Regions from separate parts of the Mus musculus genome. Here regions 1, 2, 3, 5, 6 and 7 are each reported to be linked to region 4. The links are microRNA targets in miRTarBase. Many come from high-throughput screens and were not tested one by one. Region 4 holds a microRNA gene; each other region holds the end of a gene's coding sequence. Distances are between the middles of the regions.

Evidence for each region. Region 4 holds the annotated microRNA mmu-miR-466f-3p (CAUACACACACACAUACACAC, at 860-880, opposite strand). A microRNA usually pairs through its seed, bases 2 to 8, with sites in the 3' UTR of a target mRNA and lowers its output. Matches are read on the target gene's strand: a 7mer-m8 pairs with bases 2 to 8, a 7mer-A1 pairs with bases 2 to 7 and ends in A, and an 8mer does both.
Region 1: the mRNA of Haus2 is a reported target of mmu-miR-466f-3p. Seed matches in the 3' UTR shown: 7mer-m8 at 683-689.
Region 2: the mRNA of Vwa5a is a reported target of mmu-miR-466f-3p. Seed matches in the 3' UTR shown: 8mer at 1,300-1,307 and 8mer at 1,159-1,166.
Region 3: miRTarBase lists Tbc1d24 as a target of mmu-miR-466f-3p. Seed matches in the 3' UTR shown: 7mer-m8 at 2,717-2,723.
Region 5: the mRNA of St6galnac5 is a reported target of mmu-miR-466f-3p. The part of its 3' UTR that is shown has no 7-base or 8-base seed match.
Region 6: miRTarBase lists Tbc1d13 as a target of mmu-miR-466f-3p. Seed matches in the 3' UTR shown: 7mer-m8 at 924-930 and 7mer-m8 at 936-942.
Region 7: miRTarBase lists Chic1 as a target of mmu-miR-466f-3p. The part of its 3' UTR that is shown has no 7-base or 8-base seed match.

Annotation. Positions count from the first base shown.
Region 1 is chr2:120,618,812-120,621,960 of GRCm38, forward strand. It overlaps Haus2 (HAUS augmin-like complex, subunit 2), which reads left to right. Exons shown (of 6, transcript NM_025475.3): 6 at 164-2,749. The coding sequence ends at 370. Among named protein-coding and RNA genes, the nearest start is that of Stard9, 8.7 kb to the right of the region's middle.
Region 2 is chr9:38,741,310-38,744,458 of GRCm38, reverse strand. Vwa5a (von Willebrand factor A domain containing 5A) reads right to left here. Exons shown (of 20, transcript NM_172767.3): 20 at 1,122-2,765. The coding sequence ends at 2,686. Among named protein-coding and RNA genes, the nearest start is that of Olfr920, 9.9 kb to the left of the region's middle.
Region 3 is chr17:24,178,712-24,181,711 of GRCm38, reverse strand. It overlaps Tbc1d24 (TBC1 domain family, member 24), which reads left to right. Exons shown (of 8, transcript NM_173186.4): 8 at 317-3,000. The coding sequence ends at 471. Among named protein-coding and RNA genes, the nearest start is that of Atp6v0c, 11 kb to the right of the region's middle.
Region 4 is chr2:10,466,609-10,469,608 of GRCm38, reverse strand. Mir466f-2 (microRNA 466f-2) reads right to left here and starts at 934; the gene lies at 841-934. The region is part of intron 10 of Sfmbt2 (Scm-like with four mbt domains 2); the gene reads right to left. It overlaps Mir466m (microRNA 466m), which reads right to left and starts at 2,946; the gene lies at 2,863-2,946. Mir466f-1 (microRNA 466f-1) reads right to left here and starts at 2,665; the gene lies at 2,572-2,665. It also overlaps Mir669f, Mir669e, Mir669b, Mir669d and Mir669l.
Region 5 is chr3:152,818,871-152,821,996 of GRCm38, reverse strand. It overlaps St6galnac5 (ST6 (alpha-N-acetyl-neuraminyl-2,3-beta-galactosyl-1,3)-N-acetylgalactosaminide alpha-2,6-sialyltransferase 5), which reads left to right. Exons shown (of 5, transcript NM_012028.5): 5 at 255-2,112. The coding sequence ends at 486. It also overlaps a transcript of Pigk not described here. Among named protein-coding and RNA genes, the nearest start is that of Gm40181, 64 kb to the right of the region's middle.
Region 6 is chr2:30,149,431-30,152,579 of GRCm38, forward strand. Tbc1d13 (TBC1 domain family, member 13) reads left to right here. Exons shown (of 12, transcript NM_146252.3): 12 at 270-2,584. The coding sequence ends at 335. Among named protein-coding and RNA genes, the nearest start is that of Gm31080, 12 kb to the right of the region's middle.
Region 7 is chrX:103,389,275-103,392,274 of GRCm38, forward strand. It overlaps Chic1 (cysteine-rich hydrophobic domain 1), which reads left to right. Exons shown (of 6, transcript NM_009767.2): 6 at 186-3,000. The coding sequence ends at 236. Among named protein-coding and RNA genes, the nearest start is that of Tsx, 24 kb to the right of the region's middle.

The DNA.
Region 1 (3,149 bases), 110 Mb from region 4:
TCACACCTAGGTGCTCCAGAAGAGCAGCAAGTATACTCTTACAGCCAAGCTGTCGCTCCAGCACTAAAGGACTAGAAAAAGATCCAATGCTAATTTTTGAAGTATTTATTTCTGTAATCAATGACAGGTTTTTTTCTATTTTTCTTTATTTCAAATGTTACAGAGCAAAGCTTTAGCCAAGATGGATATTTTGGTGAACAAGACAGAAGAACTGGCAGAGAATATACTCAAGTGGCGAGAACTACAAACAGAAATTTCCTTGTATATCCCCAAAATGCTAACTGAAGAACGCCATCTTCATGAACTTGACATAGTGCCTCCTTTACCTTTTTTTCCTAAGGCTCACACCGAAACCTCCAGGGCCAAGTGATGTCATCTTTACTTTGGATTAATTACATGTAGTCAAAGAAGTCCGTTTCTAGATTGTTGTGACAGGGATATTGATAGTTTTTCTTGCTAGCAATATTAATGGAATAGTGGAGCCAGAAAGATGTCTCAGTGGGAAAAAGCTCCTACTTCAAGCCTTCCAGCCTGAGTTCAGTCCCTGGGATCCACATTAGCAGAAGGGGATCACTGATTCCCACAGATACTCGATCCTATGGTGTCCACACTTGTGTCATCATATGTATGTGCCTGTACACACAAAAATAGAAAAATGAAAGTGTGTGTGTGTGTGTGTGTGTGTGTATGTATGTATGTATGTATGTGCACGCGCACATGAGAGAGCGAGCACATTGGAGTACATATGGCTTCACTTCTTTACATGTTTTCACTCTCTTTCTTCAGTGAAGCTTAAAAATGATAACTGTGGGGCTGGTGGGTTGGCTCAGGGGATAAGAGCACTGGCCACTCTACCACAGGTCCTGAGTTCAATTCCCAGCAACCACAAGGTTGCTCACCACCATCTATAAGGGGGTCTGATGCCCTCTTCTGGCCTGCAGATGTATGTGCAGCAGAGCACTCACATTGAATTAAAATTGTTTTACTAACAACAAAAAAGATTAACTATATGCATGATAGTTTATTATAAGTGAGTTGAACATTCTTCATACAGAAGATTGTGTGCTATGATTCTGCATTACATCTTTTAAAACCATTTCTGAATTGAATGTTCCTGAATCTGAAACTGTCGTGATTATTCCTGTGAGATTGTAGATTAGCTACATACCAGGACTGTAACCCTTTGAAGACTTCGTAAAGTGGTGGTTCCTTGGCTGACCCATCTAGAAACTTATGTAATAAGAGGCTGAGAAGGGCTCAGTTTGAACAGACTGTACAGTGTAGTTTGTGTGGGATACTTTCTTTCCTTCTGAGAGCCTAGGATGTTGGTCCGTACCAAGTAGAAAGTACCTTTGGTACTGGTCCCTGGCATTGCAGAGCACCTCGTCCCTAACAGTTTTGATGGTAGATAGCATTCAACAAATGTAACAAAGCCGGGTGTGGTGGCGCGAGCCTTTAATCCCAGCACTCTGGAGGCAGAGGCAGGCGGATTTCTGAGTTCGAGGCCAGCCTGGTCTACAAAGTGAGTTCCAGGACAGCCAGGGCTACACAGAGAAACACTGTCTCGAAAAAACAAAACAAAACAAAAAAAACCATGTAACAGCTGAGTTGCTGTACTGAGTCACTGCTGTGAGTGATGACACCAAGTCTCATAACTCCTCTTGGCAGATAGATCACTCACTGAACCTGGCTGTGTTAGGAAATAAACGCTGAGGACCAACAGAGAAGAAACGGAGTCTTCGTGTAAAAGTTTAGAATTCTTTGTTTTGGTACTTCCTATATGTAGCCAAGGCAGAACTTGAACTCACTATGTTTCCCAGGGTGGTCTCAAACACATGATTTTCCTTGCCTCTGCCGCCCTAGTGCTGGAATCACAGACATGTGGTATCATATCTGGCTAAAGTTTAGAGGTTTGTAATGGAAAATACTAATATATTTTACCTACTTAGGGTTATTTTTATTTTATTATTTTAGGGTTATTCTTAAGATGGAGGCAAGTATACTTAAAAGTAGAGATTGTAACAATTGTCTCAAGATTTTCTCACTCATCAGTCCTGTAAGTACTTCGCCTTATGTTTAAGCTAGGATCTGAGTTCCTTTCAAACGTGTGCATTAGGATTTCCTTACTGTTTTATTCTGCACTGTGGGAGTGTAGCAAACCTGCTCATCATGCTCTTAATACAAGACTTGGTGCATAGTAAAGTAGATGTTCACAAGGAAGCAGGGTCTTTACCCTACCCCCAACCTCCAAAAGGGCCCTGCTAAAACAATAGATTATTGTCTTGAAAGTCTCCCGCTTTTACAAATGTGCCATATAAGAGTGGTGTTAAAGTTGGGTGTGGTGACGCACGCCTTTAATCCCAGCACTTGGGTGGCAAAGGCAGGCAGATTTCTGAGTTCGAGGCCAGCCTGGTCTACAAAGTGAGTTCCAGGACAGCCAGGGCTATACAGAGAAACCCTGACTCCAAAACAAACAAACAAACAAAAAAACCAGAGAAACCCTGTCTTCAAAAACCAAAAAAAAAAAAAAGTGGTGTTAAGGTTTTGAACATCACCTAGCCAAGTTAGTAAAATCTTTATTTGTATTTCATCTCAATTTTTTTAACTATTCATTTTCCTTGTATGAATTCTTGTGTGTTTTATGTGTAAATATATTCATTATTTTGACACTATCAATATTCTTTGTGGTTTTGTAATTTTTACTTTTATTAATGACTCAAGCTGTAAAAATAAACTAATTTCAACTAAATGTGGCTCCAATATGAATCCCAAGCAACAGAAAAAAAAATACTCTTAGCTTAACACATACAACATAGAAGCATTCGAGCTGTCTGGCTCACAAAAGCTTAAGATAATTTAAACTTAAATTCTAACATAGAGAGAAAAGCTAATTTTATATCAGTGTGGTCAATAAGTAGTGAGTTTGTTTATAGAAGACAGTTACTCGGGATGGAGAGAGAATTGGATTCAACAATCCTCTGGCCTCTGCTCGCCAAATATTGAGAGTACAGGCATATGTCACTGTGTCTGGCTTGAACAAGTGTTTTTATTCTTGTGAAACTAGAGGGCAGTTCTAAGGACAGGCAAGCTACAGATATCTATAGTTTCATGGAAGAAGAAGATGGATAAGAAGAGAAAGCTGAGACTGG
Region 2 (3,149 bases), not on the chromosome of region 4:
CTTGAACTCGGGTTGTCAGACTAGTACACATGTATTTTGTACACTGGGTCACCTCCTGATCAAAATCTTTTCTCCATTAAGTTAATTTTCTCAAGTATTTTGTCACAGTGTCAGAAAAGAAGAAAAGAAGAAAGAACACTGATCGACGCAAGCATCCTTAATCCTAGCTGATTTTCTCTATTTCTTAAGTTGAGCCTGGCAAGGAACCTCATAGCCCAGGCTTCATCTGAGAATTCCCAGTCATCTTACAAGGAGTGAAGAGATTAAGGAGAAACACTTATCTCCTTGTATTAGTTAAACCAGTATTAGTTACAAAATGTAAACAAAGACATGAGATATAGTCAAAAATAAAAAACTAAATCTATTCAAGATATCCATAGTAGTTTTGAAATGGGAAATGCATGGGCAATGCTTCTGTCTTTCTGTTACCTTCATGTTGATTTTCAACTTTCATCCAATTCTTATGAACATAAAGCTTACTACTATGGTCCTGATAATCATTCTAGAGCAAAAGTGAGTTGCCATTTAGTAGCTTTGACAGCCAGAGGGTAAACAGCAGCAGAAAGCCCGTGGAGAGGTTGCTGAGAGCAGCTGACAGGGCATGATCAAGATATCAATGGAGGTTGTTTCCCATGTCAGCGATTACAGGAAGTAATCAGCAGACTTTTCTCTGAGGGAACAAAGCATAATGTACTGGGGCTGGTACTCCCCATCGACAGAGAAAAACTTTGAACTCTTTTAACTCCTAGAAGTTGTGAGAAACAAAAGGAAAGAGAAAATTTTCACACACACACACACACACACACACACACACACACACACACACTGAGTAAATGAAGCAAAAGCCAGACTCTAAAAACTTCATACATACAAATATATACATACATACATACATACTGACAGAGAGAGAGACAGACAGATGGAATGGGTGGACCATAGCTCCACACATACACACATACACACATACACACATACACACATACACACATACATACATACACACACACACTCACACACACACACACACACACACACACATATATGTGTATATATATACATATATACATACATATGCACATGTATGTATGTAGCTGGTAGGTGACTAAAACAAAGTTTGAACTAGCAGGCTCAAAAGCATTTTGCACATATCCACACATATATACACAGTTGGTTGGAATAAGCTCCAACACATACCCACACAAGCTTTACATATAACATACATATAAATTTGATAGATGGAACAAAGTTCCAATTCACAAACTTTACACATATACATACATACAAGCACATGTATAAATATATACACACATACTTGGAGGTGGAAGAAGCAAAGTTTCAACATTATTTTTCCCATCTCTTATATATCCCAGAAAAACCTTTTAGACAGTATAAAATTACAGTTTTAGTACTTTCTATTTTCCTTCTAGTGACTGACTATGAAAAAATTTCCAGGATGTTATATAATATCTTTACAAGAAATAACATTTTATAGTACAGGTAAATAAAAGAAAGTATTCCCAAGAACCCATGTGCATTCATAACTAAGCAACTTTTTATAGATTTAAAAAGTGTGAGTAAGCAAAGGAGTTTTCTCAGCCAGCTCCTCTTACTCTCAGGCAGCAATTTGCACTTACGAAGGAAGGACTAATTATTGTGTTTATCTTTAAGAGTAGTCATACAAAAATCTCCAATGAGTCACAAATCTGAACTTTTATATAAAAGTCAGTCTTAACTACTTTAAATACTAAGAAGGTTTACCTAGACATCAGCAATTCTTATTAAATCATATCAGAAAGCTGAGGGCAAAACTAGACATAACAAGTCAATCAGGAGCAGTCCAGCCTCAGTGAGATTCATGTTAGCCAATGTTGCCATTTTTCTTGTTCTCTGACCATGAAATGTCCATAGTTTAATGAATATGTGTGTGCATTACAGAAGTTCAAAATGTTCACTAAGATTTTTTAAAACAGTATCAATAACAAACAATCAAAAAAAAAATCTTAACATAGGCTTACTAAAAACTTTGTTTTTCCAAATAAAGGTTTTAAGGATGGTGAACATTGCTGAAAATCCACATCTTTTTAAGTTCTTTCCTATGGTAGTACTTGGATCACTAATCTGCTCCAGCAACAATGCCTAAAAGATATCAGGCATTATTATTGTTTAATGTCAATGATACTCCCCAGTGAGGGGCTGGAAGCCACTTTAGACTTTTCATACAATCCTTAGATTAAGAGGGATGTGAAGGCAATGGGCAGGGCAAAAATTCATAACAGCATGAGGTACTCAGGACACATAGTCCTAGTAGTACTGCCTCAACTGAGGAGCATCCATCATGTCTGTGCTAACTGGTAGGGCTATTCTATGAGTTTAAAGCCATTTGTTGACCATACTACATGGCTCTGCATAGAGAATGGATAACAATAATGCAGGGTATTAATTTAAGCATTGCTCATGGTTAATGCTGCATGCTTACTATAGATCTCATGCCAATCATTATATTGTAATTATATTGTAAATGGTCTCGAAACTCCGTGTGTCATTCTGCATATGAATAAAATAAAATCCTCAAAGAAGAAAACATGTTGGGAGACTATGTTAACTTCTGACAAAAGAAATGATAGGGATAGAAAATAAGGGACTCAGTGGTCGCCAGAAAAGGCTTTCCTTTCATGGGTGACATGTTTAGACGCCAAAGACAGCAGGATTCACAGATAATTTCAGGAGACTATTGGCAGCTTGCACAAGCATGGGGATGGAGGAACCTGTGAGGAAGGAAACAAGAGTTCAGAACTGTGGGAGAGAAGAGGGAGGCTCTTTCCTCAGCCTCCCTCAGTCATTCCTACTTCCCATTTCAGTCTATATTTAGCTTCCTGTAGTAACCCCAGCTCTTCCCCCTTTCTTCTGATTCTGCTTTTGTCATTTCTGTCCACAGGAACACAGCAACAAGGATAAAATAAACATCCAGGACACTTCCTACATGTCTGGGGATAGTCTTATTCAGCTAGGCATCCACACCTGTGCTCCTTCCTTTTGCTCAGCTTATCCCAACTACCAAGTACATGCTTTGCCCTAATCCTGAAAAGGAAGAATCAGCTGGAGGAACAGACCATGTTCTGAGATAGCCTGGTTGGGCATCCATGGGGACT
Region 3 (3,000 bases), not on the chromosome of region 4:
TCGGAGGGGACTTGTGGGTAGCTGAAGCCTCTGTGCCCAGTCCTTGTTGACTACCAGTAGTAGACATCTCAGTTAAGCAAAGGAAAAGGACCTGGGTTGTTTGGGGTAGAGATAGAAACTAAGGGCTAGCAAGCAAGCGTTAGGTAGGGAGTCAGACCTAGATAAATGTGTGCTTCTAGAGGAACCTCTGTAGTTCGAGGGATCTCTCTCCTGCGATTACTATTTAGCAGACCCTTCAAGGACAAAAACGATGGGGTATCTAGGGAAGGGTGGTTGTTGGAGCAGAAAGACATCTGTTCCCCTGCACATCCCACAGGGGGAGGAGGTGGTCAAGCACTCTACGTTGATGGGGACCTGAATCGAGGGCGCACTGGACACTGTGACACATTCAACAACCAGCCCCTCTGCTCTGAGAACTTCCTCATCGCAGCTGTGGAGGCTTGGGGCTTCCAAGACCCTGACACCGAATGACGGGCCCGCACTGATGGTGACAGCCACATTGTGGGGTGATGGGACAGAGGCCCGGCTGCCTCTTCAGGGAGCAGGGAGTGAGTGAGACGTCACCCCCAGAAAGTGGAAAGGTTTGCTGTGCAGTGGGGCTGTTAGTCTCTCACGCCAGGCCTGGCCCTGGCTTGGACTTAGGTTAGGATTCCTGAGCCCTCCTGCTTCTGAGCTCTTGAACCCTCAGCCCTGTCTAGCATCTCTGTAAGAGACACCCTCTGCCCTCACCCAGGGCCCTGGCTCTGCCAGGTGTCCTGTACCCACAATTGCCAAGGCTACATTTCCATGCCCCTGAGCCTCAGCCCCTTATAAGAAAAGGGCAAATGAATCTTCTTGCCAAATGTGGGCCCATGGTGCCCCCCTGCTGGTGCTTTGACCCTGCAGCTCCTCTGAGGTTCCCCTCAGAGGGGTACATTTGCTGCTGTAGTGTAGGGTAGGATTGGGAAGGGCAGGGTCTGTGAGTTCTGCAGCTCCCCCTAGTCTAGAGATGGAATGAGGGCTGGAGAACTGTCTTTTGTCTTTGTGTTTCTGCAGAGCCTGAAGCTCTTGCTGCGCCTCGCTGCGAGTCCACACCTGAAGGTGGCCTCCGGAGAGACTTTCTTTGACCACCTTGGCCAGTCAGCTCCATTTCCAGAGTTCTTCTCAGAGCTGACTAGACTCTGAGGCCTTTGCCTCTCATCCCTGTGGCCTCCTTGAAGTTCTGTAGTCTTGGTGACTCTTGTACTTGGTTCCTCTGTCACAGTGACTGAGGCCCACCAAGCATGGCATGCTTGTCCCCATCCAGCTTTTTGCCTTCTCCCCAGGCCCTGTGCTCCCCTGGACCCGTTCACACAGCATCTGATTCACCTGTGTGACCTGATCCCTCAGCTGGCACTGTGGCCGACCACGTACTGTATCTTCTGTGTGCTACCCCTGCCCCTATTAAGGCCTTCAGGTCTCTGGATGTCTGTGCTTCCTGAGCCCTGTGCCAGCCTGTGCACATAGGATGCCAGCCTGTGCACATAGGATGCCAGCCTGTGCACATAGGATGCCAGCCTGTACACATAGGATGCCAGCCTGTGCACATAGGATGCCAGCCTGTGCACATAGGATGCCAGCCTGTGCACATAGGATGCCAGCCTGTGCACATAGGATGCCAGCCTGTGCACATAGGATGCCAAGGGAGGTGCTGCTTCTGAGGACTCTCGCAAGCTCCTCTTCCCCGTGACCTCCCTCAGCTGGTCCTGAGGGTCTAGGCGCCACAGAGGAAGAGAGAAGAAGCAGTGGCCCAAATGGCTCTGCTGGGGCCATGGAAGTCGGGATCATAAGGACAGGCGCCTAGCTTCCACATGACTGTCTGGCGTGCTTGAGAGTCAGCATGTGTCAGGCCAGTGCTTGTCTCCACGCTGAGATTCACTTTCGCTGGGGAAGGTCCATCCTTCCCTGTTCCACCAATTCACACCAGCTCTCTGCACGGCCACAGTGGCAGAAGAGGCAGGGCAGAAAGGAGCCTCATGCATCTAGAACTCTGGATTCTGCACAGTGGACAAGTTCCCCCACCATGCTGGCTTCCAGGATGGGTTCGCGTGACTCTATAGAGTGAAGAGGAACCACTGTTGCTCACCTCTACAGAAGGTTATAAGCCTCAATGCCCACTTCCCCTGAGCCCACTGCCGAGGCCTAGACCTCCAACTCTGGTGTTCATTTAACACCATCTTGATTTTTGTTTCTGGCAAGATCTTACTAGTTAACCTAACTGGCCTGGAACTCCCTATGTAGCCCAGGCTAGCCTGGAAATTGCTATGTAGCCTAGGTTAGACTCAAAAATCATGATCTCCCTCAGCCTCCTCATTGCTGGGCTTCTAGGTGTTAGGCCCAGCTGAGCGCTTTGAGTTTGACTGCCTCCGTTCTGAGTCGGGCTCCTGCCAGAAGGCCCCCAGGACGTTCCCAGGCTGAGCTCTTGCCGCTCACCCATGCATTACCACTGAGACTCAGAAGCCTTCAGAAGCAATGACGTTAATTGGGAGTATGTGCGGGGCTCTGCAGGGTTCCAGACTGGTGGTGGACCTTGTGTTCTGTGTGGCCCCCACTGGCAGTCCCAGGGGTCTAGCCCAAGGAGACTGATGGATGCTGAGTCATGATCACATCACAAGCAAAGTTCTTAGCTTTTCTCCCACAACATACCCAGCTCTTTAAATTTAATGTCCTTTTTTTTTCTGACTTTTCTACCAAAAGGTGTGTATTGTTTTCTTTATATTTTTATTCTTATCACTGTTCTTATCTGATACTACTAAGTGTTCTCACTTAGTATTTATTTTATTAATGTTTTCTATTATTTATTAGCTTTTGATGTTAAAAAAAAACCAAGCCAAAATGTGATGGCATTGTATAAGAAGTTATATTTTAGCAGCATTCAAACATTTGTTTTTAAAACAAATACTTAATCCAATTTAAGCCCATTCGTTAAACTAACCAAGTTTGTTAATATATAGCATATGCCGTCGGAGCCTCAGAAGCTCA
Region 4 (3,000 bases):
CAGATCCCCTCAGCTCCTTGGGTACTTTCTCTAGCTCCTCCAATGTGGGCTCTGTGATCCATCCAATAGCTGACTGTGAGCATCCACTTCTGCGTTTGCCAGGCCCTGGGCCTACTGACTCTGGTAAACATTATCACCTGCTGACTGAGACCCCTCTCAGGCCAAGTACTGCATAACCTCCAAAACTTGAGGTGACATATCATTCAAATGAATCACTGAGTGCCATTCATGTCTGTGTGTCTTTGTGTGCCTGTATATGATTGTATGTATGGATATGTATATTCATATACAAACAGGCAAATGCACACAAAACTATACACCCATGCACATACACGGGGTACATCCCAGGAATACCAGGCTGATCTCTAACTCATTATGAAGTTAAGCATGAATTTGAACTCCAGATCTTTCTGACTATACCAATCGTTTATATCTGGTGAGTAAAAAGTTTCATTGGCCCAGTACTACATAATTTCTAAAGCTCTAAATCACATATCAATAAAATAAATCGATGAATACCATTCCTGCGTGTGTGTTGATGTGTTCATATGAATGCGTGTATATATGGGTGTGTATGTATATGTATATTCATATACACACATATACATGCACACACAACTATACGCACATGCACAAACATGGGGGGCAAAACATGATTCACAGTTTGATCTCTAAATCCTCATGAATGTAAGCATGAATTTGAACTCCTGATTCTCCTGATTCTGGCAAGCATTTTCAACTAGAAAGTGAGAGCACTCACTGGCCCAGTACTACATAATCTCTATAGTTCTACGTCACATATCATTCAAATGGATAAATGAGTGCCATTCGTGTGTGTGTGTGTGTGTGTGTTACATGAGTGTGTATGTGTGTGTGTATGTATACATATATTCATATACACACATGCACATGCACACACACGTAAACACACATTCACATACATGGGTGGCATCACATGAATGCCAGGATGATCTCTAACTGAAGTTAATCATGAATTTGAACTCCTGATCCTCCTGACTCTGTCAACCATTTTCACCTGGTGAGTGAGACCGTTCATTGACACACTACTGCATAATCTATAAGACTCTAAGTCACATATCATTCAAATGGATCGATGAGTGCCATTCCTGTGTATATGTATTTGTGTGTGTGCATGCATGCGTGTGTATATGGGTGTGTATGTATATGTATATTCATATACACACATATACATGCACACACAAGTATACACACATATAGAGCAAGCAACACACAAATCCCGGGCTGATCTCTAACTCATCATGAAATTAAGCATAAATTTTTACTGCTGTTCTTCCTTACTCTGCAAGCATTTTCACCTGGTGAGAGAGAGAGAGCTCTTTTGGGCAAAGGAATACTCAATCTCTAACCTCTAGGTTGCATATCATTCACATGGATTGGTAAGTGGCAATTGTGGGTGTGTTTGTGTGTGTGTGCATGTTTGTGTGGGTATGTATGTATATGTATATTCATATATACATACATTTTCATGCACACATAAATATACACACATGCACATACATAGGGGTCATCACATTAACACAAGGCTGATCTCTAACTCATCATGAAGTTATTATGAATTTGAACTCCTGATTCTCCTGACTGTGAGAAATGTTTTTGCCTGGTGAGTGAGATGTCTCACTGGCCCAGTAAATTTACATATTATACAAATGGATCGATGAAAGCCATTTCTGTGTCTGTATCTGCGCATGCGTGTATATGTTTGTGTGTATGTATATGTACATTAATAGACACACATGCACATGCACACAAAACTATATACACATGCACATACATTCATGGGGGACATCCCATGAATTCTAGGCTGATGTCTAACTCATCATGAAATTAAGCATGAATTTCATCTCCTAATCCTCCTGAGTATGGCAAACATTGTTACCTGGTGAGTGAGATCTCTCCCTGGCACTGTCCTGCCTAAACTCTCAAGCTCTAAGACACATATCATTCAAATGGATGTGTGTGTGTGTGCATGAGTGTGTAAGTGTGTGTATATTCATATTCATATACACAAATGAACATGCACACACAAGACACACACCTGCCCATATATAGGGTACAGCCCATGAATCCCAGGCTGATCTTTAACTCATTATGAAGTTAAGCATGATTTTGAACTCTGGATACTGATGCTCTGGCAAGCCTTCCCTGGTGAATGAAAAGTTTCAGTGGCCCAATACTACATAATCTCTAAAGCTCTAAGTCACATATCATTCAAATGGATCAACGAGTGCCATTCCTCTGTGTGTGTTTGTGCTTGCGTTTATACGTGTGTGTGTATGTATATGTATATTCATATACACACATGCACATGCACACACAACTATACACACAGGCACATACATGGGGGGCATCACATGAATCACAGACTAATCTCTAAATTCTCAGGAAGTTGAGCATGAATTTGAATTCCTGATTCTCCTGATTCTGGCAAGCATTTTCACCTTCTGAGTGAGACCATTCACTGGCCCAGTACTGTATAATCTCTAAAACTATAAGTCACATATCATTAAAAGTGATCAGTGAGTGTCATTCATATGTGTGTGTTGCATGTGTGTGTATGTGTGTGTGTATGTGTATGTATATTCATATACACACATGCACATGCACACACACGTAAACACACATGCACATACATATGAATACCAGGATGATCTCTAACTGAAGGTAAGCATGAATTTGAACTTCTGATCCTCCTGACTCTGTCAATCGTTTACACCTGGTGAGTGAGAACATTCACTGTCCCCTATTGCATAATCTCTAAAACTCTAAGTCACATACCATTCAAATGGATTGATAAGTGCCATTCCTGTATGTGTGTGTTTGTGTGTGTGTACGTGCGTGTGTATGTGTGTATGTATATGTATATTCATATACACACATGCACATGCACACACAAGAACACACACAGGCACATACATAGGGGCCATCACATAAATCCCAGGATGATTTCTAAATCTTCAT
Region 5 (3,126 bases), not on the chromosome of region 4:
CCTAAGCTCTCTGTTTGATGCTATGCTTGCTTTACATCCTCAAAACCTTTCCATTTTCTTATTACTTCAACACCAGAAAGAAACAAAAACCCATCAGCTGACGTTCTTTTGATGAGGAAATACGAAATATGGTTTGTGTTTATCAGCTTATTGCAGTAACACTGAAAAAGTGTGTTCCATGTCGGGTATGGCTTGGGTGTTTGCATTATTTTCCTCTCTTTTGCTTTAACAGTTGTCCCACTTTCCTCCCACAGGGACCCAAAGCATCCTTCCGTACCCTATCATTACTATGAGCCTTCAGGACCCGATGAATGTACAATGTACCTCTCTCACGAGCGAGGACGCAAGGGCAGTCATCACCGTTTCATTACAGAGAAACGGGTGTTTAAGAACTGGGCACGGACATTCAACATTCACTTTTTCCAACCAGACTGGAAACCAGAATCACCCGCTGTGAATCATGCCGAGGGTAAGCCTGTGTTCTGAGGGGTGAACATGGTGGACAGCGGTGTCCACGCTGTGTGGCAGGAGAGGAAGGACTTAAACTCTAGGCAGGGAAACGGGAACTGAATGGGTGACCGAGAAGAGCGGCGTCCTTCAGCACCATGGACAGATCCCAGCGGCCAGAGAACATTCCAGAACGCTTACATGCTAATGAGTGTTGTCTCTTGGAAAGAGCAACTGAAGCCTTGATTCAGTGACACTGCCATGGCTAGGAACACCCCAGGTCTCTGGGAGTATTGCCTTCGAAACTGAACCGGGAGCAGCCCGCCACTTTTAGTTGCATTTCTTTACAGATACCCACGTCAAAAGACTTTTTTATCAGAAACCTAACCTGACCTATAGTCTCTGTCATTTGTCAGACTTTGTGATTTGTAAAAGGCCTGAAAGTATGGACATGCTTCCGAAGAGCACATCTCCAATGATTTTCATAAAGCAAATGTCTGCTATTTATTTATTGAGAGTTTTTTAGTGTACTCTAGGCAGTATTTTTATAGATTATGATTATGTGGCAATGTATTCTTCCTGACTCTTTAATCCTGAATGGTGGTTGGTATGGGCTAGGATCGGGCTGATGAGTTACTGAATTCACAATGCCCATTACTAGCTTGAAATCAGTATTTGATGTGGAAATGTGCAACATTGTTTGAACCTCTCTGCTTCAGGCAATTTGCTGTTTCATAACAAAAACAGCTATAACACTTTCTAATGTACATAAATGTCCAAAAGAACAAAATTGAAACCCAAAAACTGTGTTATTAAAACAAAAAGATGCTAATGAGAGAAATTTAAAGATACCCTTACTTTTTCTTCAGTAGCAACTGATAATACAAGCTATTTCTCTTTGAGTTCTACTTCCCCTTTCCTTAGAATGTAGGATAAAGTCCCGAGTTCCTCTTGCAAATCTAAGATAGTCAGAGCCTCTCGTTTATAGGAGGACTAGACACTTGGATTGATGTGGGGCTGACAGTAGGAGGAAACTTCCAGTCAGGGTAGAGATGTCAGGGTCCTCTGGGTAGACATCACGCCTCCTCCTGGGGCTCTCTTGCCTAACTACTATCCCTAGATTCTTTAAGAAAGTGAGAAATTGGGGGCAGGGGGTGGAGGCAGTGCCAAGAGCTGCCCATGTTTTGAGAACACAGAACAGTTCCACCCCACCGGCTGCAAGTCTTGGAATATGAAGGACTCCTCTCTCCATTCAAATCCACGATCAAGTAGTACTATAGACTTTCATTTTAGAAACTTGTATCGCTCAGAAGAGTAAGAAATACTAGACTCTTCTTTACATCGTGCCAAAGGGACTTTAGTGTGTCTAATGACAGGCTTGAGGGCAGCAGCTAATGTCGTGAGGGAACAGGCATTCTCTACAAACAGGACAGGACTTGTGAATAAAGTGTCTCATACCACCAGTTCTTTCCCATCTTTTTAATTAGTGATAATGTCCCATGCCCTTTCATTAAGTAGAACTATTCATTATGCAGGGCGCCATTGTGGAGCTGCAGATACAGTCCAGGTATTCAGACAGCAAAGACAAAGTGTTATTGTGGTGTGGCTTGAGTTATTTAAAGTCAGTAAAAAAGAAAAAGAAAAAAATTAAATGGCTGTCCAAGACATAGTGGAATTCATTCTTCAAGTGTCTTCTGAGTTTGTAGGAAAATGAATTTTATTTTTACCATAGCACAACCTCCTGTTTAGTCTTCTTATATACACAGAAGAAGGGTGTAAACTGCACAGTTGATTGACAGGCTACTTCACAATCCCTCCAAGAGATTATTTGTTGAAATATAAGTGGTTCCATTGACAAATCCTATGCTTATGGAATATTGGAAAAGCATAGCTACCAAGGGGTAAGAATACTATCTGACCTGATCTACTATCTTACTGTCTGAGTATCTTTGGGTGGTGTGTGTGTGTGTGTGTGTGTGTGTGTGTGTGTGTGTGTATGTATGTGTGTCTGTATGGGGGGAATGGTGTGCGTATGTGTGTGTGGTTTCGTGTATGGGTGTTGGTGTGGTATGTATGTTTGTGTGCAGTGTGTGTTTATGTGTGTGTATATATGTGTGTGTATGTGCAATGTGTGTGTATATGTGTGTGTGTGGAGTGTATATATGTGGTGTGTGTATGTGGTGATATATATATATATATATATATACATACATATATATATGTATGTATGTATATGGTATGTGTGTTTATGTGTGTATGTGGGGGGCTAGTATGTGTATGTGGGGATGTGGTGTGTGTGTATATGTGTGTGTGGTGTGTGTATATGTGGGTGTGGGTGTATGTGGGTATGTGTGTATGGTATGTATGTGTGTGTGGTGTGAGTGTATGTGTGGTGTGTGTATGTGTGGGGGTGTATATGTGGGTATGTGGGTGTGTATGGTATGTGTGTGTGTTTAAGGGAGAAAAGCCCACAATGAACATCAAGATACGCCCTTTGTCTAATTTCCTTCCCTCAAATACTCAAAAGAATAAAAAGCAACCAAACGCCCAAAGTCTTGGCTCTTTCACAGAAAAATATTTTAAATTCACTTGTGGCTATAATATAGTGTAGCTAAGTGTAAGAAATGATCACTTGGGTCACAGTTTTACCGCTGCATTAAAGAAGACGCCGAGAGCGGA
Region 6 (3,149 bases), 20 Mb from region 4:
CTCCAGCTTCTGTGTCAGACGTGAGGGCTGAGGCCTTTGGGTACCCTGGTTCTAATACAGGCTGTGAGACCCTTTGGGCCTTGGGACGCAGAACCTTAGTGACTTGCAGTGTTTGGGGCAGGCTACTCTGGGTGTCTGGTACACCATGGTCCCTGGCCCTGGTGCCATTCCATGGTAACGAGTCTCTGGGAAGGTGGTGGGTGTGGCAAGTGGAGCAAAGTGGCTGCTGCTCCAGGAGCATGACCTTGCTTTCGCTTTCCGCTTTCCAGGATTACCCCATCACAGACGTCTGCCAGATCCTACAGAAAGCCAAGGAACTCCAAGACTCGAAGTAACGTGGTAGCAGGGTCCCAGCTTTGGAAGAGCAGCCACTGCGCTTGCTCCACACCCTTGTTTTGGGGACACAAAGGAGCCTGTGAGAAAGCCAGCCTGAAGGGAAGCTACAGTCCTGGCCAGCTCCAGGTCTTCCCAGCCTGGTTCCCATGGTCCAGGGTGCTCCTGGAGCACGCCGCGATGCGCTCCTTCCCAGTGCTCAGCCCTGCCACACTCCCTGCACCTCAGCCCTGGGACCCTCCACCCAGACTGCTCAGCAGGGCCGGAGCTCCTGAACTGGCTTCCTGGGGCTGGGGCCATTTGGGGCCTAGGAGGCTGACAGGGTCCTGCCATGCCTCTGCCCAGTAGCTCCTCACCCCTGTGCTTTCATCTTCCCTGAGTCCTGGTCAGGGGAGGCAATTAGCTAATGGGCCAGAAACAACTTCTGAGTGTTGGTGCTCAGACTGCCTGGGGAAGCACCCCAGAAGAGCTGAGTGACTGCCAGTTCTAGGGCCACCGTTTGTCCCTGTCCGGTGTGTTTGCTTGTGGCCGGTAGGGTTGTCTCCCAGGTCTCTGCTTTGTGTGTGTGTGTGTGTGTGTGTGTGTGTGTGTGTGTATGTGTGTGTGTATGTATGTATACATGTGTGTTCACACATGCCCTGGCAGTGGGGTGAGGGTATGTGGGAACCCTCTAAGGCCCTGCTTCCCCTCTGTGTCTACCTCTGCCTGTCCCTTTTCTTCCTTTGCCAGAGGCGTGTGTGGCTCCTGCTGTCTTTCTTTTGTCTGTCCTCTTTACCCTGGCGCTCTCCTCCCCTCTGCTCCCTGAGGCCAGCATTCAGGAGTGTAGCTTAGTGAGAAAGCCCTGGAGGCCAACTTTATTGGCATCCTGTTCCCATCCCCAGCCTGAGGCCTCCAGGTCCTCTATGTCAGAGCAGGAATCCCCAGTACCTGCTCCAATGGCAGCCTGTGATGCTTTGAGCCTCTCGCCCATTTTCTACTCAAGAATGGAGAAAGGAGGGATGGGGAGAGCCTTCAGTTGGAGAGTAAGATACCCTGGCTGCTGTGTGCCTGGGAGTTGCCATTTCAGGAGTGATGTCATCTCTTTGATGGCCATGTTCCCATCTGGTGTGTGTAGTTCTCATCAAGGGCAAGGGACCAAAGAAAGCTTCTCTGGGTCCAGGGTGGCTAAACTGGAAGGCCTGGAGCTTCACAGTACCAGAGGGCTACCTCTGCCATCTGCCCCCATGGGAGGCGGAGCGGGGAGGCGGCGGGGGGGGGGGGGGGGGGGGGAGGCTTCGGAGGTGCTGGCCTTCCTGGTCATGTGCTTGATCTATCTTCTGACTTTGGGGCTGGGTTCCCTGAACCCTATAGACTTTTCTGACCATGTTTCTTCCGGAGGTCAGGTGGCTTGAGTCCTGAAGGCAGGTTGGCAGCAAGGGCTCTTAACCTTCTCCAGAGACTGGCCAGCAGGAGTGAGGCTCCAGTAGCTGGCACCTGAAGCCTTCCTGAGAGCAGAGGGCAGGGCTGCCTCCTTCCCAGGCCATTGCTTTAGCCAGGTTGGGTTGAGTGCTGCTGGGACTCTACCTGCCTTTTTACTACCTTCTCTCTCAATACACAACACCTGGGACGTATTTTACTATTTATTTGGACACAGGCTAGCTATTTATTGCAGAGTGGCAAGTGACCTGGGGAGGAGTGGCCAGGATGCTAAAGGAGTTGGAGAATTCAAATATGGATTGTCTTATTCCCCAAGGTTAACCCTGACATCCTCTCCCCGTTCCTGCCTGAGAGGGCTGCCAGCTTTACCCTAGAGCCGAGTATAAGGGAGGCCATATACACTCCCGCCATCTTGACCGCCCCCAGACCTAGGACTTGGTAGCTGGTAGCTCAGCCCCAGTACTGCTCCCTTTGTTGACTGGGACGCAGCAAATGCTGCCCAGGACGCGGATGCATTCATTCCTTCTTGCCTGCCTCCCCCACCCCACCCCTTGCCCCGTTTCCTGGGACCATGCTACTGGAATCACTGCATCTGATTTGTTTCTGTGGGAGACCTGCATCCTGTGCCCACCACTTGGTCCTTGAGATGAAGGCCAAGGACATGGAGACTTTGTCTTGGGTAGGGTGGCTCCGCAGTTGGACGCTGCCTGAGGGAAGGATCTGCCCTTGATTCTTAAGGGGGAACCCCGAGCCTGAGCTCCTGCAGCTCCCGGGAGCTCAGCAGGCCAGGGCTGTTGATGAGTCGTCCTTAATAAACTGTGCTCTTTACCATGCGTGTCGGTGCTGTGCTGGCTGGACTTGAGACTTTGGAGGAGAGGAAACAGTTGGAGCAAGGACAGAGCCAGAGTCCCTTAGAGTGTTCTAAGACAGACCAGGAGATGCTTGCCAAGACACTTGCAGTTCGGCTGCGGCCAGCCAGAGACGGCCTTAGGAAGGAGGAGGTGCGCCTGGGCACACATTATTATTAATCTTCTTACATTATATTTCTTTGTGTGCAGCCTGCGGGTGAGGGAGTCTAGCTGGCATTGGTTCCCTCTTGCTATCATGTGGGTCCCAGCAAACTCAGGGCTGCTGTGAGCACCTTTACCCACTGAGCCAGCCATCTCACGCACTTCCGGCAGCGCATTGTTCCTTAGGTCATTTAATACTATGTTTTATTTAGTTTTGCTATGTAGTTCAGGCTACTCTTGTTCATCCTGTAGAGCCTCTGAGGCCAGGGTCTCTGCCTCCTGGGTGTTGGGGTTAAAGGTGTGTACCAAGCACACTGCTAAAAACACAAGTATTTCCCTCTGCCAACTGTAAACTCTGAAAATGATAAATGCCACTTGCAATACCTAGAA
Region 7 (3,000 bases), not on the chromosome of region 4:
TTTGGAAACAAGAGGCCTGTTTGGTCATAACCTAATTCTTTGAATAACTGTTTTTTGCATTTCAATCACTCCCTGTAATCCACGATGAAAATGCAGTCCTGTGGTACTCAACAAGATTTTGTGGGTTATGTACATTAAATGAAAAATATCTTGTCAATATATTCTTTTCTGTCTTTATTTTACAGGTAATACTAATAGAATTCTTACCAAAATACCCCATATTCCGACCCGACTGAGGAGTTTTCTTCAGTCTCTTCTGTGTTATCTGTCATTTCCTACCCTTAGTGCCTTGTAGATGATCTTGGAATGGAGACAGTCTCCTTCGCTGTGTTCAATTTATTCTTTACAACAGTAGACTATTCTTCTCACTCTTTTATTTGTGTTAATTTAAGAAAATTTGCACATCTTTTTTGTTATTAAATGAGGCTTGTGTTTTGCACTCTCAATTTTTAAATAAATGCAAACATATACCCGTATTTATCGTTAACACTAAAAACATCAGTGCTGGTGTTTAAAGAAACAAAACAAAAACCTTGTTCTGAGCATGCTGCCTTATGATTTTCATACTCACTGTTTCTAAATATGCATCATTTTTCTAGGCTATTTAATGCTCTGTAATCCCTTACTGGACACACCCAAATAAGCTTTTGGTAGCTTTTAGAAATGGTTTTACTCTGCTCTTAAAGAAAATGCAATTAATAGCACTGGTTTCCTCCTGCACTTTGCTAAATTGTCACTTATGTTAGTGGATAAAATATTTAAACTCCTAAAGACTTGTAAATATTGTCTCTTTGCATAATGTAAAATGTGGTATGCCATGGTTTACAGAATGTATTATTATTATCAATGTATTGCCAACAATTCCACATAGATTTTACTATGAATGATGTTTGTAAGCATCCTGTTGAATGTAGAGACCTTTAACATGCTGTTTTGTGGCAAAGCCAAACTGAGTATGTTAAATTTCAGGTGTGGGGCGGAGTGCCCTTCCTAATAAGTGGATTAAAATTGAAATCATTACTTCAGATCTTAGGCATCACACCTGAGACCAAGAACCTTCTTTTCCATTTACTTCACTGTTTTCCATTTCTCCTCCACTCCACCCCCATCTTACAGCCTCACTAGCTCTCATTTCCTTTCCCTTCTTTGAAGGTACACAAGATTTCAGTCTTTAAATGTCTTAAGAGCTGGGCACATACCGTTAATCAATCCCAGCACTCAGAAGACAGAGAGAGGCCACAGATCTCTTTGAGTTCAAGACCAACCTGGTCTACAGTATGAGTTCCAGGACAGCCTGGTCTACAGTATGAATTCTGAGACAGCCAGGGCTACACAGGGAAACCCTGTCTTAAAAAAAAAACAAAGTGTCTTGAGATTTTTGCCTCTTATGTGAGGTATCAAGGCCTCCGTGAAAGCCATGGCTTATCCTCTTCTGAAGTTCCTGTATCCTACATTGAGAAAGAGCACAGAGAAGCTCTACCTACATAGTAGGCTAGTCAGAGTTGAGAAAACAGTTTCAGCCGTCTGATTGGGGATCTTTTTTAAACACTTATAAATTATTGAGGAAAGACAAGTAAAATTTAGATAAAATTGTTTTCGTTTGTAAATTGGCCACATTTTTTGATTGATACATGCATATTTCTCTGGTTTTTTCCATAATTAAATTGAGTGATGTTACTACTTTGATTCTACTATAATTTGAAATTATAATATAATATAATAAATGTTTTTCTATCACATTAATTCAACTGCAAGTGAATGCCTGTATATGGGCATTGTTTGTAATTTGCAGTGACTGACATACATTCTATTCTCTTTGTCCTTCTATTCTTAACTGCTTTTAAGTAAGCTCATCTCAGTGAACGGAACAAGCTTAACAAGGTCAAGCCTTTTTAAGGCACTTTTAAGAGTTATGCCTAATCTGAAATCCTTAGTCCTTGGTGGAAAGAGGAAGGACATCCTGTTTGATATGTGGCTCTAATGGTTTGCACAAAATCTTTTTGAGCCACCCAGCCACCCCAGATCTCTAAGTTCTAATATATTATGTATGCCTGCAAATATGTCTGCCTGCTGCAAAATTGAAGGTGTATTTTTATAGATAAGAAGGAAGCCTTTGAAAATGCATACCCAATGTCTTGTTTTATAGCTAAGGTCAGGGAAAAACATATCTATGTCTTATGTTTCAGCTAATGTCATCAGATTTATGCTTCATACTGTGGTGTTTTAATACCAAAATTGATTTCCATCATAATATAGAATTTTTAATTCTCACTGGTAAAAAAATTACTTGTGAATGTCAATCCTCAGCAATCTTACATTTCGTCTGTAGCCTTAGAATTTGACCAAATAGTCATCATAGGAATTTTTTTCTGCCATGTACAAATCACACTTCATTTTGTTCAAAAAAAAAAAATCAAGAAGTGTAATGAATTGTTTCCATGAAACAAATATTAAGACAGGAATAGATTGTATATGAAAGTGACCAAGTATCATTCAAGTTACAATAGTATTTGTCATTTAAAATATTTATCATTACATGTCATATCAATTTGAACTCCTCACTAATAACTGTATTATTTTATTGTTCAGTATATTGATTGACAGGTGATAGTTTTCTCGTTACTTTTCTTTTTTATGTGACTGGTAGTTTGAGTGGGGAAGAAGTTCCTTTTCATTGAAATTAGTCACAGCAAATGCTAACCCTTCCCCTCCAAACTTCTTTTCTTTTAACCTCAGGATAGAATGTAACTTGTATTTTTCTATTGGGTTAGCCAAGTATTTTGTGAAAGTTATTTTTGACTAAAAAAGAGAATAATTTTGTTGATATATAATACTCCTTTATTACCATGGTAGTTTCCAAAGGAAAAAAAGTTTTGAAATAACATTTTGCCAAAGCTTCTAAATCTCTATAGGCTTTGAGATTTCAACTTAAAGGACTTTTTTTTTTTTTCTTATTCTGAAAAGCCTGGCATGGTGGTTTATACCCCATAAATTAGTGAA